Linked DNA regions of Macaca fascicularis. The protein of the gene in region 1 interacts with the protein of each later gene in a pairwise test. Links are inferred from orthologs where the notes say so. Each region holds a gene or a part of one and is shown on either strand. Other genes may lie near its edges. The genes, in order: MBIP, MCM7 and EPB41L3.

Region 1 (3,648 bases):
GCACTGGTCTAGGATTAGGAAGAAAAAGCATGGACAGAAGGGCATGAGTATAAAGATCCTAAAGCAGCAAAACGAGTGGGAGATGGGAAGCCCAGAGGTGTAGCTGGAACTACAGATGTGGACAATACTACTTAAAATTACAACCCCCTCCAATCCCAATCTCCAAATTTTTAGCTGGGAAGAAACAAGATCAAATTTGAGTTTTAGAAAAAGCAATCTGGCCGCAGCATAGAGAATGATCTAGAGGAAGTCTAGTGGCAAAGAATCCAGTAAATATCCTTCCATCAGTCCAAGCAAGAGATCACAGCAGCTTCAACTCTGGTAGCAGCAGTAGAGATAAGACAGAAGTGGGCAGATTTGAGAGATATTTATTCAGAAAACAGAATCAACAGACATGGTGACTAAACGGAGAGGGAGACTCAGGCTCTGCATCCAGTGAAGATTTAGGTTTGAGCAGGGTGCAGTGGCACATGATTGTAGTCCCACTGACACAGGACGCTGAGGCAGGAGCATCACTTGAGCCTAGGAGTTCAAGTCCAGCCTAGGCAAGTCTGGACTATCTCTTTTCCTTTTTTTTTTTTTTTTAAAGAGTTGTCACTTACTATCGGAGGCGTGTTGCTTGGGCTCTTTAAACTTCAATTTATTTATCTGTACAATTATAACAGCACCAACACCTCAAAAGGGTACTATGACCTTTTAAGTGAACTGACATATACATAACACTTTCTGAATGACTGGCACTTATCGTTCAAACAATGTTAGGAGCTAAAGGAAAATTTGGTGACTAAATGAACTGCAATTTTTTAACCATTTGCAAAGGTTCATTATGAGGTCCACTTAGCACTCTGCTTACCTGTCTGTAACCGCAAGTGGGCCTCAATATTTTGTAGTCGTTCTTCTACAGCCTGATTACCACAATCTCGAAGCATGCTGTTAGGTTTATGACCTGACCCTGGAATTCCTTCAGGTCTAGTCTGTGGTCCGTATGTATTCACAACTCTAGAAACTAAATTAACAAACTTTTGAGCCTATATACATTTATATTTCAAAAATCAGAAATTCTTATTCCCTAACAGCACTTTGTATTTTTTTCATAAAGACCATCTAACCACAAGTATGAAGGACGGCAAGATGTTTTTGTTTTAAAATAAAATTTAGATGGGAAAGTTATTTCTATTCCATTTTGCTAATAATCTAGACTTCTGTCAGTGACTCAGATGTCATGTGGTGGTTACTTACCTTTTACGTGACTTTTAAATCCGGGGTAAGGAGTAAAAATCGCATCAGTTCTTGCACAACTATTTTCTAAGGAGAATTTAGATAAATATAAGTTTAAATATATTCTTCCCTTCAAATGTATGAGATTTTAATAAACTTCCAATCATTCATATTAACATTTTACTCATAATAATTTTAATAAATAATAGTAACAATAAATTACCATCACACACAGGATAGAATTTAGTGACCTTCTTTACCTGTCAAAATGTATCGTAATATCTAATATTCTTACCTAATATTCAGATTTATATACAGAAAAGCCATCAACATTAAGTGGCACAAATTGATACAATTTTGAAAACCAATGTCACTATTCGGGCCTCTGGAGAAAATAATCTACTGTAGAGTATTTAAATTCTACTTCATCGTAGAACTAGAACTCATCATTTTTACTAGAATTCTTTTAATTCAGCATGTTTTATTTTAATGCCAAATTAGTGAACACCCAACAAAAAGAATTATGTATTTAACACATTTTTATTTCAGAACTCCACATAAAGATGACCTCAAAACCTCAAGTACACACACATTTCCACTCTACCTAGATTTCCAGTGCTCATTTTAGAAATCTGTCATCACAAAAGTCATCTACTTCTTCTCATCCTACCACTTTCAAAAAAGTTTAAATTTAGGAAAGGTCTGTTGTGAAAATTTGTTCCTATTTTTTTCCAAGCTGAAAAGTATAGTTTCTTTCAAATTAGATATCAATGCATAAATTACAAAGGGGGAAAATTGGAAAGATGTTAACATATAATACAACTAATATATTAACATAATTGTTATATATTAACATATGATACTACATAGTAATAATATATACTTGTGTTTGAAACAATGCTTAAAAGCCACACATTGGCAGTAAGTCTCCTGTAAAATTCCCTTGAATATTTTGTAAAAAATGGCTGGTAAATGAGATTCTTAAAAAAAAAATTCCTTCCCCCACCATGAAATTTGATTTTTAAAAATTCCACTGCTTATAGTTAGATTTGTACTATTAAAATCCCTTTTAATAAAAAGGAACACACTAACATATTAAAATGCATTTATATTTTTTCAGTTGAACTTTCCTTAGTAGTTCTGTTGATAAATCAAATAGTATGCATAAAATTCCAAATCCACTTAGCTTTTATATCCAGAGACTAAACAGTCATCTTTCCTTTTTTTTTTTTTTTTTTGGAGGCACCTCAAAATATGCTTAAAAGGCCATCCTTTCTCCATTCTCTTCCTACCATTTAATGGGGCTAAGGGTTAAAAAAAGAAGCTATCATCCATTCCAGAACTATATTCCAAACATATAGATTAACTGACCCATCAGTGAGAAATTCAGCATGGTGTGAGTATATGAGTGCTAGTCACTCTCCACAGCAATTCTTTCTAGCACTGTTTTGAGCCAGCAAGGAATTGAATGGGCCAAGGAATCCTGCTGAGCATTTCAATTCTTGTCAATTTCTATCCCCTGGTGGTTTATAATAATAGAGTTAGCAGGGAGAACAGAGGAATAACATTAGTGACACATGTGCTTGCTCTCGCAACAAACCCTTTCTCATAGTCGCTTATAGCTGGTTGTAGTACCTGAGATTTTGCCATTGTTGCACCTGTTCTGAAAAGCTAATAGGAAAATATACCAAATTTAGAGATGCACATGTGTAATGTTAATAGTAGCACACAGCTAAATTCAGGATCCAATACCAGCCTATATTATTTCATTATTAAGAGAATCAGTGTACCAATGTGATATGAGTCAGTTTTAGGTTCATCTGACAATTCTATGTTCATAATAATTAGTCATGAGATATTAGAGGCAACAAGAAACATGTTCATCCCAATTATGAATTCTTCTCCATAATTTTTCCTAAGAACTAGTTGTTCTGATTATTACTATGGTGCCTGAGTATGATCTATGGCACTGCTTTGCAATATTTTGTATTCTGCAGCATAACTGCAGATTTGTAAATGTACTATAGCATCAAGTAGAGAGGTAAAGGAGAATCTGATGAAAAACAACAAACGTATGCACTATGGCAGAAAGGAAAAAAGCAAGACACCATAGTCTTCATGATAAATTGGTTGTATTGTGACATAGGACATTTCAAACAGCTCAGGAGTAGTGAGAAAACTGCTCCCTCTGGAGGAATATTAACTTTAAGTTCACTTATGTATTAACATCATGATTTCACAGTACATGTATAGGTTTGAAACTCATAGAGCTCAGTTCCTTTTACTAGTGGGATAGATCAACCTTGTCACTCATACCTCACATTCATTTCCTAAAGGAACTTTAAAATAATCTTCGCCAGTGATAAACACTTTTAATGTTAGCATTTACTTTGTGTAACCAAAATGAAAACCAGTTTGCAATATAGTCTA
Region 2 (3,748 bases), on another chromosome or scaffold:
CGCCCGCCACCACGCCCAGCTAATTTTTTTTTCGTATTTTTAGTAGATGCGAAGTTTCAGCATGTTGGTCAGAATGGTTTCGAACTCCTGACCTCAGGTGATCCGCCCTCCTCGGCCTCCCAAAGTGCTGGGATTACAGGCGTGAGCCACCGCGCCGGGCCTCTTGTTAGTTTTACTTGGAGAAATACAACCCCCAAGTGGAAGCTACCATGGAACCAGTCCTGGGAGGGAGACGGCGCCCACCCGGCCCGCCCGGGCCCAGCTCCTCACCCGCCTCCCGCCAGTGGTTACCATGACAACCGGGGACTCGTCTCCTGGCAGTCCCGTCAGCTTCCGGTAGAAGAGCTCGGCCACATCCCGGCCGCCACTGTCCCCGCGGACTGGCGGGTGGAAGGACTCAGTGAAGGATCCTGCGACACGGGCTGGCCCTGGGCGCCCCTCCCGCCCGGTCCCTCCGCCCCTTCCCAGCCCCGAGGGTCTAGGATACAGTCTTTGTAGATGAGCGGGTCCCCCTTGGAGGACAGAATGAAGAACTGGGAAATCATGGCCGTCCTGGAGAGCAGACAAGAAGACGGCGAAAGTTGGGCCTGCCCCGCCCTGAGGCCCCGGAACAAAAGAACGCGCGTGCGCTGGCCCTTTAAGAGCGATTCTCCTCCGCCGCGCCAGCTTGGACCGCGGGAAACCCGGCGCCCGCCCCACCCCGCCCGGAGATTCCCTTCCGACTCCCGCACCGCCTCCCCGTCACTCATTCGAGGCCCGCCCGGCGATTGGCTTGCGGCTAGCGGGAGGGAGAAAGGGCCGGCTTTTCCGATTGGCCCGCACGCAGTGGCGCTGGTCACGTGGGGGGCGACGTTTCGCGCCAATTTCGGTTGGCCGGCCACAGTCCACCGCGCGGACGTTCTCAGCTTCCCCAGAAGCAAGACCTCTGAGCCCGCCAAGAGCTGCCGCACAGGCCTCGGCAGCGATGGCACTGAAGGACTACGCGCTAGAGAAAGGTACGGGTCTACAAGCCTGGGAGGGCGTCCTGCGCGGGGAGCCTCCCGGGGAACACCTGTTGATGTGAGCTGGGGTCTTCGAGGACCGGGGTCAGCGGGTTCTGGGGCGCGCGACGCCAGAGGCAGGGTCGGGTTGCGGCCTGGCTAAGGCCCACGGGACCTGGAAGGCGCGCGAGGGGCATCGACGTTGAAGAAAAGGTAGTAATCCCACTTGGGAAAGGTGTTATAGAGTTGGGGGGCTTGGGGGGCGCTACCCGGCTGAGGGCTGCACAGGGAAGAGTCGCGCCGAGGACCTCAGGAGACTCTAAGGGCTCTGGACCCCGGACCCGCTTCCCTCCGCGCTTTTGGATATTCCCAGGTTCCCGCCGCCTCCCCGAGGCGCGCGGAGGCCCCGGGGGCGGGCAAGCCGGGGCCGCTACGTGCCGGGATTGGCCGTTTGAGGCCGCCCTCCGAGCGGAAGTGGAGCCGGGCGGAAGTGGCGCGACGCGGGTGGAGGGAGTGTCGTGTAAACAGTGTCCTTCCGCGTGGCGGCCTCGGAGAGAGCTGCGACCCGGGGGGGCGTGCCTGGGATCCGGGAGCTTCGCTCGGGCCCGGGAAAGGCGGCAGTGGGCTGGGATCGCAGTGGCCCTGGGCGTGCTGGCCAATGGCTGAACTGGCTCCCGCCTCGGGCGGAGGAATCCCGGGCTGTGAAGCGGCTGGAATCCGGGCCCATGTGCTTCTTTGTTTACTAAGAGCGGAAGCGCTGGCGGGAGCGGTGGTGGGGTGCGGGACCTGCCTGGTGGCGGAGGTCTCGGTGAGATAAGGGGCTCGGGGGACCCAAAGAAGGCAGGGGATCATGGGGGTGGAAAGAAAGCTGAGAACCTTGAGGCCGGAGTGTGGGAGGCCAATGGGGAACGGCGCTAGGATTTTAAACTAAAGTAGGGACAGGAATTCCCCTGGGGAATAGATGTTGGATCGCCCTGTGCACTGCCCCGGGCTCTTTATTCTTCGCTGGTTAAAACAGACTGTGCAAAAGAGTTATGCCCACTTTGGGGAGAATTCGGTAGTTTATTTAAATGTTCATATTATTAGTTCATAGGCTGTGTTTTAAGCGAAAATAGGTATCTTAGATTTCTATCAGAGGGATGGGCAGTGATGTGTCTTAAAGTTTATGTTTTATGATTTTACATTTCACGTTACAGAAAAGGTTAAGAAGTTCTTACAAGAGTTCTACCAGGATGATGAACTTGGGAAGAAGCAGTTCAAGTATGGGAACCAGTTGGTAAGTATAAGATTGGGTAAAGGGAATGGGGAAGTGGGGTGCATAAGGAGCCATAAGAAGTAGCTTGGCTGGTTTTATTAAAGAGGTAATAATTAGAGGGTTTGGGGGCTGAGAAGCAAGTATCTCTCTAAGTGGTGCTGTGTTCCCCCCTGTGGATGCCCAGAGCCTGTGCTGAGTTCTCAGTAATGTATCTTCACATATGAACACTGGTGCACAAGGTGAATGTGGCTTTGAGGTGTTTCTGTCTCTTTCTCACCTGAGGTTCGGCTGGCTCATCGGGAACAAGTGGCTCTGTATGTGGACCTGGACGACGTAGCCGAGGATGACCCCGAGTTGGTGGACTCAATTTGTGAGAATGCCAGGCGCTACGCAAAGCTCTTTGCCGATTCCGTACAAGAGCTGCTGCCTCAGTACAAGGAGAGGGAAGTGAGTGGCTAGAGAACAATGGCAAACAAAGGGAAAGGCATTTAAGCTTCTGTAGAGAGGCTGGTCAGATACTGATGTTTTCTGAGCAGGCAGAAAGAAGGGGCATTTCAGTCTGGTGTTCTCTGCACTCTCCTTTCCCCATCCTGTTGCTCGTTTATTTATTTATTTGTTTATTTTGTCCTCCTTTAGGTGGTAAATAAAGATGTCCTGGACGTTTACATTGAGCATCGGCTGATGATGGAGCAGCGGAGTCGGGACCCTGGAACAGCCCGAAGCCCCCAGAACCAGTACCCTGCTGAACTCATGCGCAGATTGTGAGTGGTCTCTGTTTGGAAGTATGTAGGGATTGGTTCTCCAGGATCTTGTTTGTGACTGTTTTCTCCCCTTAGTGAGCTGTATTTTCAAGGCCCAAGTAGCAACAAGCCTCGTGTGATCCGGGAAGTGCGGGCTGACTCTGTGGGGAAATTGGTGACTGTGCGTGGAATTGTCACTCGTGTCTCTGAAGTCAAACCCAAGATGGTGGTGGCCACTTACACTTGTGACCAGTGTGGGGCAGAGACCTACCAGCCGGTACGTGTGGAGCAAGGAGCAGGAAAGCCCTTACCCATTAGTCGTTTTGTAGAGATTAATTTGATCCCGTGATGCCTATCATTTTCTTTGCTTGTAAAAGTTGCCTGTGTGTTTGCCTTTCATTGTTGGGTATGTAATGGTCTTTCTACCTATTTCTTGGGTGTTTGTTGTTGACCCAGAGTTAAGTTCAAAGGGTTCTTGACACTTCCAAGATGTCTGCCATGAAGAGAAAATGTGATTCAAGGAACCGACCGACCCAATGGGGCTCTTTTGCTTCTGACTTCCTTTTGCTGCTTCTGTTCTCACATCCTAGATCCAGTCTCCAACTTTCATGCCTCTGATCATGTGCCCAAGCCAGGAGTGCCAAACCAACCGCTCAGGAGGGCGGCTGTATCTGCAGACACGGGGCTCCAAATTCATCAAATTCCAGGAGATGAAGATGCAAGAACATGTGAGTTTGGGGTACGTGGCCCTGGGCAGGTGGATTGGGAGTCCA
Region 3 (3,748 bases), on another chromosome or scaffold:
TCACAAGTAACAGCAACACATCTCTCAGTGCATGGATAGTGGCATCTCTTCTACCTAGGTGGCCCCTTAATGCATCTGACCAACCAGTTCTTAAAAAACAATTATAAATAAAATTGCATCCGATCAAGTTTAAAAATATCCTGATCTTTTTATTTCAACACAAAGTTGGCCAAAGTCCAAGCACTGTATAAGAATTGATGAAAAATTGCTTTTAACCTAAATCACATTCAAGCAGAAGAAATGTCTTAAAAATTAAATGTAAATATCTCACTGAGACACTGACATTTGATCTATAGCTCCCAAATCCTTCACCTAAAAGGGGTTTACAAATTAAAGTGGCTACTCTTCTTGTTATGGATGAATTATTCACAAAACATGATCTGTTTTGAAAAACTTATTTTGGCTAAAGTGTATTAACTAAATAAACTTGATGCAGTGTTGTGCATCTAATAGTTTACTTTTCTAAACTACCAGAAAACCATAATGCAAATGAGATAGTATTAAGCATTCAGCTATCAATGCCTTGCAAATTAACAAATTGAAGTCACGCTTCTCCAATTTAGTATTTATTCCCTCTCACATTAATTTTGTTACTCCAACTAAAGTTTTTAAAGTTTGATACCAAAATTAACATGCATTTTTTAAACACTCTCTCTGAGCCAAGACAGAAATCACCTCTCAGTCCCCAGAGTTCACTGGAGCTTGATGTGCTGCTCTCTTTTCTTAATAGGGCTTTTCTGCTTAATTTGCTGTAATTGGGACTACGTCCATGGCTCACAGACATCAAGTGGAATTTTACCATTTTTGTTTCCTTGAGACTTTAAAAATCAGGGTGAATTTCAAAAATAATGTTTTTAAGCACTTCGTGTGACGCTTCCTGTACTACAGAAGTTAATGCTATCAAAAGAAACTCCAGCACACCTGGCCACCTCAGAGAGCTTAAAATTCCCATTGCAACCCCCGCCCCCCAACAAAAAGGACAGGCAGGATATCTGCAAAAGCAATTCCGCAAGACTAATGTAAAAAAGCTGAAACAACTTAAACACGCAATGGAAGCACTGCATTAGCAGGACTGCCGGGCCCTCGCAGGACCTCCCAGCCCAACCTCCACAAGTAATTAATACCACATGTTTCCTTTATCATTCTATTTGTTCTGTTCCGCAATAATCTCTACCAACTTTAACCCTGGGCTGCAACTAAAGGAAAAACCCTAGGAAACTTCAGATCCGTAATATAGAAAGAAAATTGAGAAGAATACTCTCATTGCAAGGGACCACAGTTACAATTTACTAGGTAACCACACCCACCGCATTGCAGAAGCCATGAACTTCGCGGGCGTGGGGGGGGTGGGGGAGAAGGGGAAGAAGTCGGGCGAGATTAGAGGCGAAACCCGAAAAAGCAAGCCCCTGCGGCAGCAACCAGGAAACACCCGCCAGGAACTGGCTGACACCCCAGCTCCAGCGGTCCGAAGCCCCAGCCTCCCCACCCCCACCGCTGCAGAGCCGCCTTCGCAGACACCTCCCAAGGCGAATCGCAGCCCGGAGGGCGCCAGGTGAGTCGCGCCGCCCCAAGCCCCCGGGCCACGACAGGCCGACCCAGGCGCCCCCGGCCCGCCCCCGGGTGCCAGAGGCGAGGGGCCCCTGCAGGTGCCCAGGCCCAGGGCAACCCCGCTTGGACGCTCCCTCCTCCTCCCCCACCGGCCGGGGGCCGCTGCCCCAGTTCGGGGAACGAGGCAAGTTATATAAAAGCGGCCGGCCCCGCTGCCCAGCGGGGATGCTTTGTGCGGAGCGCACCTTACCGGCCCCGCGCCGCGCCCGCCCGCGCCTGCACCCGGGACGAGCCCGCAGCCGCCGCGCACTGAGCGCACGGCCCCTCCCGCGGCCCGCCAGCCGCCAGCCGCCACCCGCCCGGGCGGCGCCGCAGTGTCGCCCCCTGTCCCTCGCACCTCCCCGGGGGAGGGGCCGGCCCGCGCTCGCCCCCAGTCCGAGGGGCAACTTAAAACATGGCGCCCCGGGCGGGGGATTTGCGAAAATTGGCGGAGAAGGGACGCGGGGACCGAGTTGCCCCATCGGCCAGGGATCCCAGGGAGGCCCCCAGGCCGGAGGCCGGGACTCAGGCTCTGCGCGCCGGCCCAGCCACTGCTGCAGCGCGGCGGGTGGAGCGGGCGGGGGGCGCGGCGCACAGGCTCGGCCCGCCGAGGGTCCCGGCGAGCGGGAGGGCGGTTGGGGACCCCAGGCGCGGGGCTCGGGATTCGGGAGACCGCGCGGCGCCGGAGCCACGCGTCAGCCCCACAGCCCGTGCGCCTCGCCCCAGGCCTCGGGCTCTTCCTCCGCACCTCGTAAAGCCGAGACCCCCTCGCAGTCCCCCACTCCGGGAGGCGGAAAAGTTACCTGGGATCAGCGGATAGCCCAGGCGCGCCGCGGCGTGGGGACCAGGCTCGGGCGCGCGTCCTCGGCGGCGGTGCGCAGGAGACTCGGGCGTGGGGAGGAAGCCGCAGCCCAGGGCTGCTCGCCGCGGCTCCCCCCGCCCCCTGTTGCAGGAGACACCGAGGCTCCGCGGAGCTGCGGCGGGGGCCCACGCCCAGAGACCGCGCAAGGAAAGCCAACCTCGTCCTGCCTGCCCTCCCAGCCGCGGGGGAGGGGGCCAGCGCAGTACTTCAGGACAGTTACATGGGCACAACCTCCTCCTTCCTGGCGCAGGGTCAGGCTCCGCGGACGACGCCTGGAGACAGCTGCCAATGCCAATAGCTTTAGCCCTTGATTTCCACTTAGATGATGGCCTGGCCTCTCCAGCCCCCTCTCCCCTCCCAGACATCCCCTGTGAGAAAGGAGGGAGGGGGTGTTCCTGACCTTCAGGTGAGTTATTTATTGGCTAGGGACTGCAGTATTTTTTTTTTTTCTTTTTGGAAAGAAAATAAAAATCAAGTTGGTGGTGTTTTGAAGTCATGTTAATAGAGAAGATCTGAATTAATGGTTGATAAGAGAAGTCGCCCATCTTTCAGCAACTCAGCTACTCCGTCCTCTCCAGTACCTATAAAGCTTTCCACTGAAATGGAGCGGAGGGGGCTCCCTGATTTGTAAGTGAAATAAGTAACTCCTGGTCGTCTCACAATATCTTAAGATCTGACCGAGTAACTAAGACATTTAAGAAATGTTTTTATGGGCACAAAAAGAATAGAGTGAATAAGACATAGTATTTAATAGCACAACAGGGTGACTATAGTCAAAATAATTTGCACATTTTAAAATAAAGTATAATTGAATTGTAACACAAAGGATAAATGAAGGATGGATTTCCTGTTTTCCATGATGTGATTATTACACATTGCATGCCAGTAGCAAAACATCAAATGTACCCCCATAAATATATATACATACTATGTACCCACAAAAATTAAAAATAAAAATATTAAATATTAATTTTTAAAATTTTATGTATAAGTCATACAACATAAGATACATATATAGTAAAATGGTTATTATAGTAGATCAAATTAGCATATCTATCATCTCACATAGTTATGCATTTCTCCCAACACCCCTCTACTTGTGGCAAGTGTAGCTATAATATACTCATTTAGCAAAATCCTGAATACAAGACACTTCTTAGCTCTAGTCCTCATGTTGTACATCAGATCCTTTTCATGTTGTACATTATTTTTTTTTAAATAGAGCCTTCTCCAGATCATCCGGTTGCCCCTCCAGGAGCTCAGGGACTCATTAAAAGAGGGGAAAAAAATGGATTAACA

The links.
Region 2: the proteins of MBIP (region 1) and MCM7 interact in binary tests that used the Homo sapiens proteins (3 or more experiments, as listed by UniProt). The two-hybrid records come from large-scale screens. The link is inferred for Macaca fascicularis from reciprocal best matches to the Homo sapiens genes MBIP and MCM7.
Region 3: the proteins of MBIP (region 1) and EPB41L3 interact in a two-hybrid assay, tested with the Homo sapiens proteins (2 studies listed by BioGRID). The two-hybrid records come from large-scale screens. The link is inferred for Macaca fascicularis from reciprocal best matches to the Homo sapiens genes MBIP and EPB41L3.

Annotation. Positions count from the first base shown.
Region 1 is NC_088381.1:104,146,770-104,150,417, forward strand, and holds part of MBIP (MAP3K12-binding inhibitory protein 1), read right to left. Parts: intron 1,306-3,648; coding exon 1,240-1,305; intron 1,007-1,239; coding exon 854-1,006; intron 1-853. UniProt on the Homo sapiens protein: Inhibits the MAP3K12 activity to induce the activation of the JNK/SAPK pathway. Component of the ATAC complex, a complex with histone acetyltransferase activity on histones H3 and H4.
Region 2 is NC_088377.1:48,752,502-48,756,249, reverse strand, and holds the start of MCM7 (DNA replication licensing factor MCM7), read left to right. Parts: upstream 1-867; 5' UTR 868-964; coding exon 965-995; intron 996-1,495; exon of another isoform or gene 1,496-1,788; intron 1,789-2,176; coding exon 2,177-2,256; intron 2,257-2,517; coding exon 2,518-2,682; intron 2,683-2,737; coding exon of another isoform or gene 2,738-2,745; intron 2,746-2,871; coding exon 2,872-2,996; intron 2,997-3,071; coding exon 3,072-3,252; intron 3,253-3,565; coding exon 3,566-3,703; intron 3,704-3,748. Other genes in the region: AP4M1 (AP-4 complex subunit mu-1), read right to left, coding at 271-380, 488-545. UniProt on the Homo sapiens protein: Acts as a component of the MCM2-7 complex (MCM complex) which is the replicative helicase essential for 'once per cell cycle' DNA replication initiation and elongation in eukaryotic cells.
Region 3 is NC_088392.1:74,037,773-74,041,520, forward strand, and holds the start of EPB41L3 (band 4.1-like protein 3), read right to left. Parts: upstream 2,476-3,748; 5' UTR 2,391-2,475; intron 1,902-2,390; exon of another isoform or gene 1,799-1,901; intron 1-1,798. UniProt on the Homo sapiens protein: Tumor suppressor that inhibits cell proliferation and promotes apoptosis. Modulates the activity of protein arginine N-methyltransferases, including PRMT3 and PRMT5.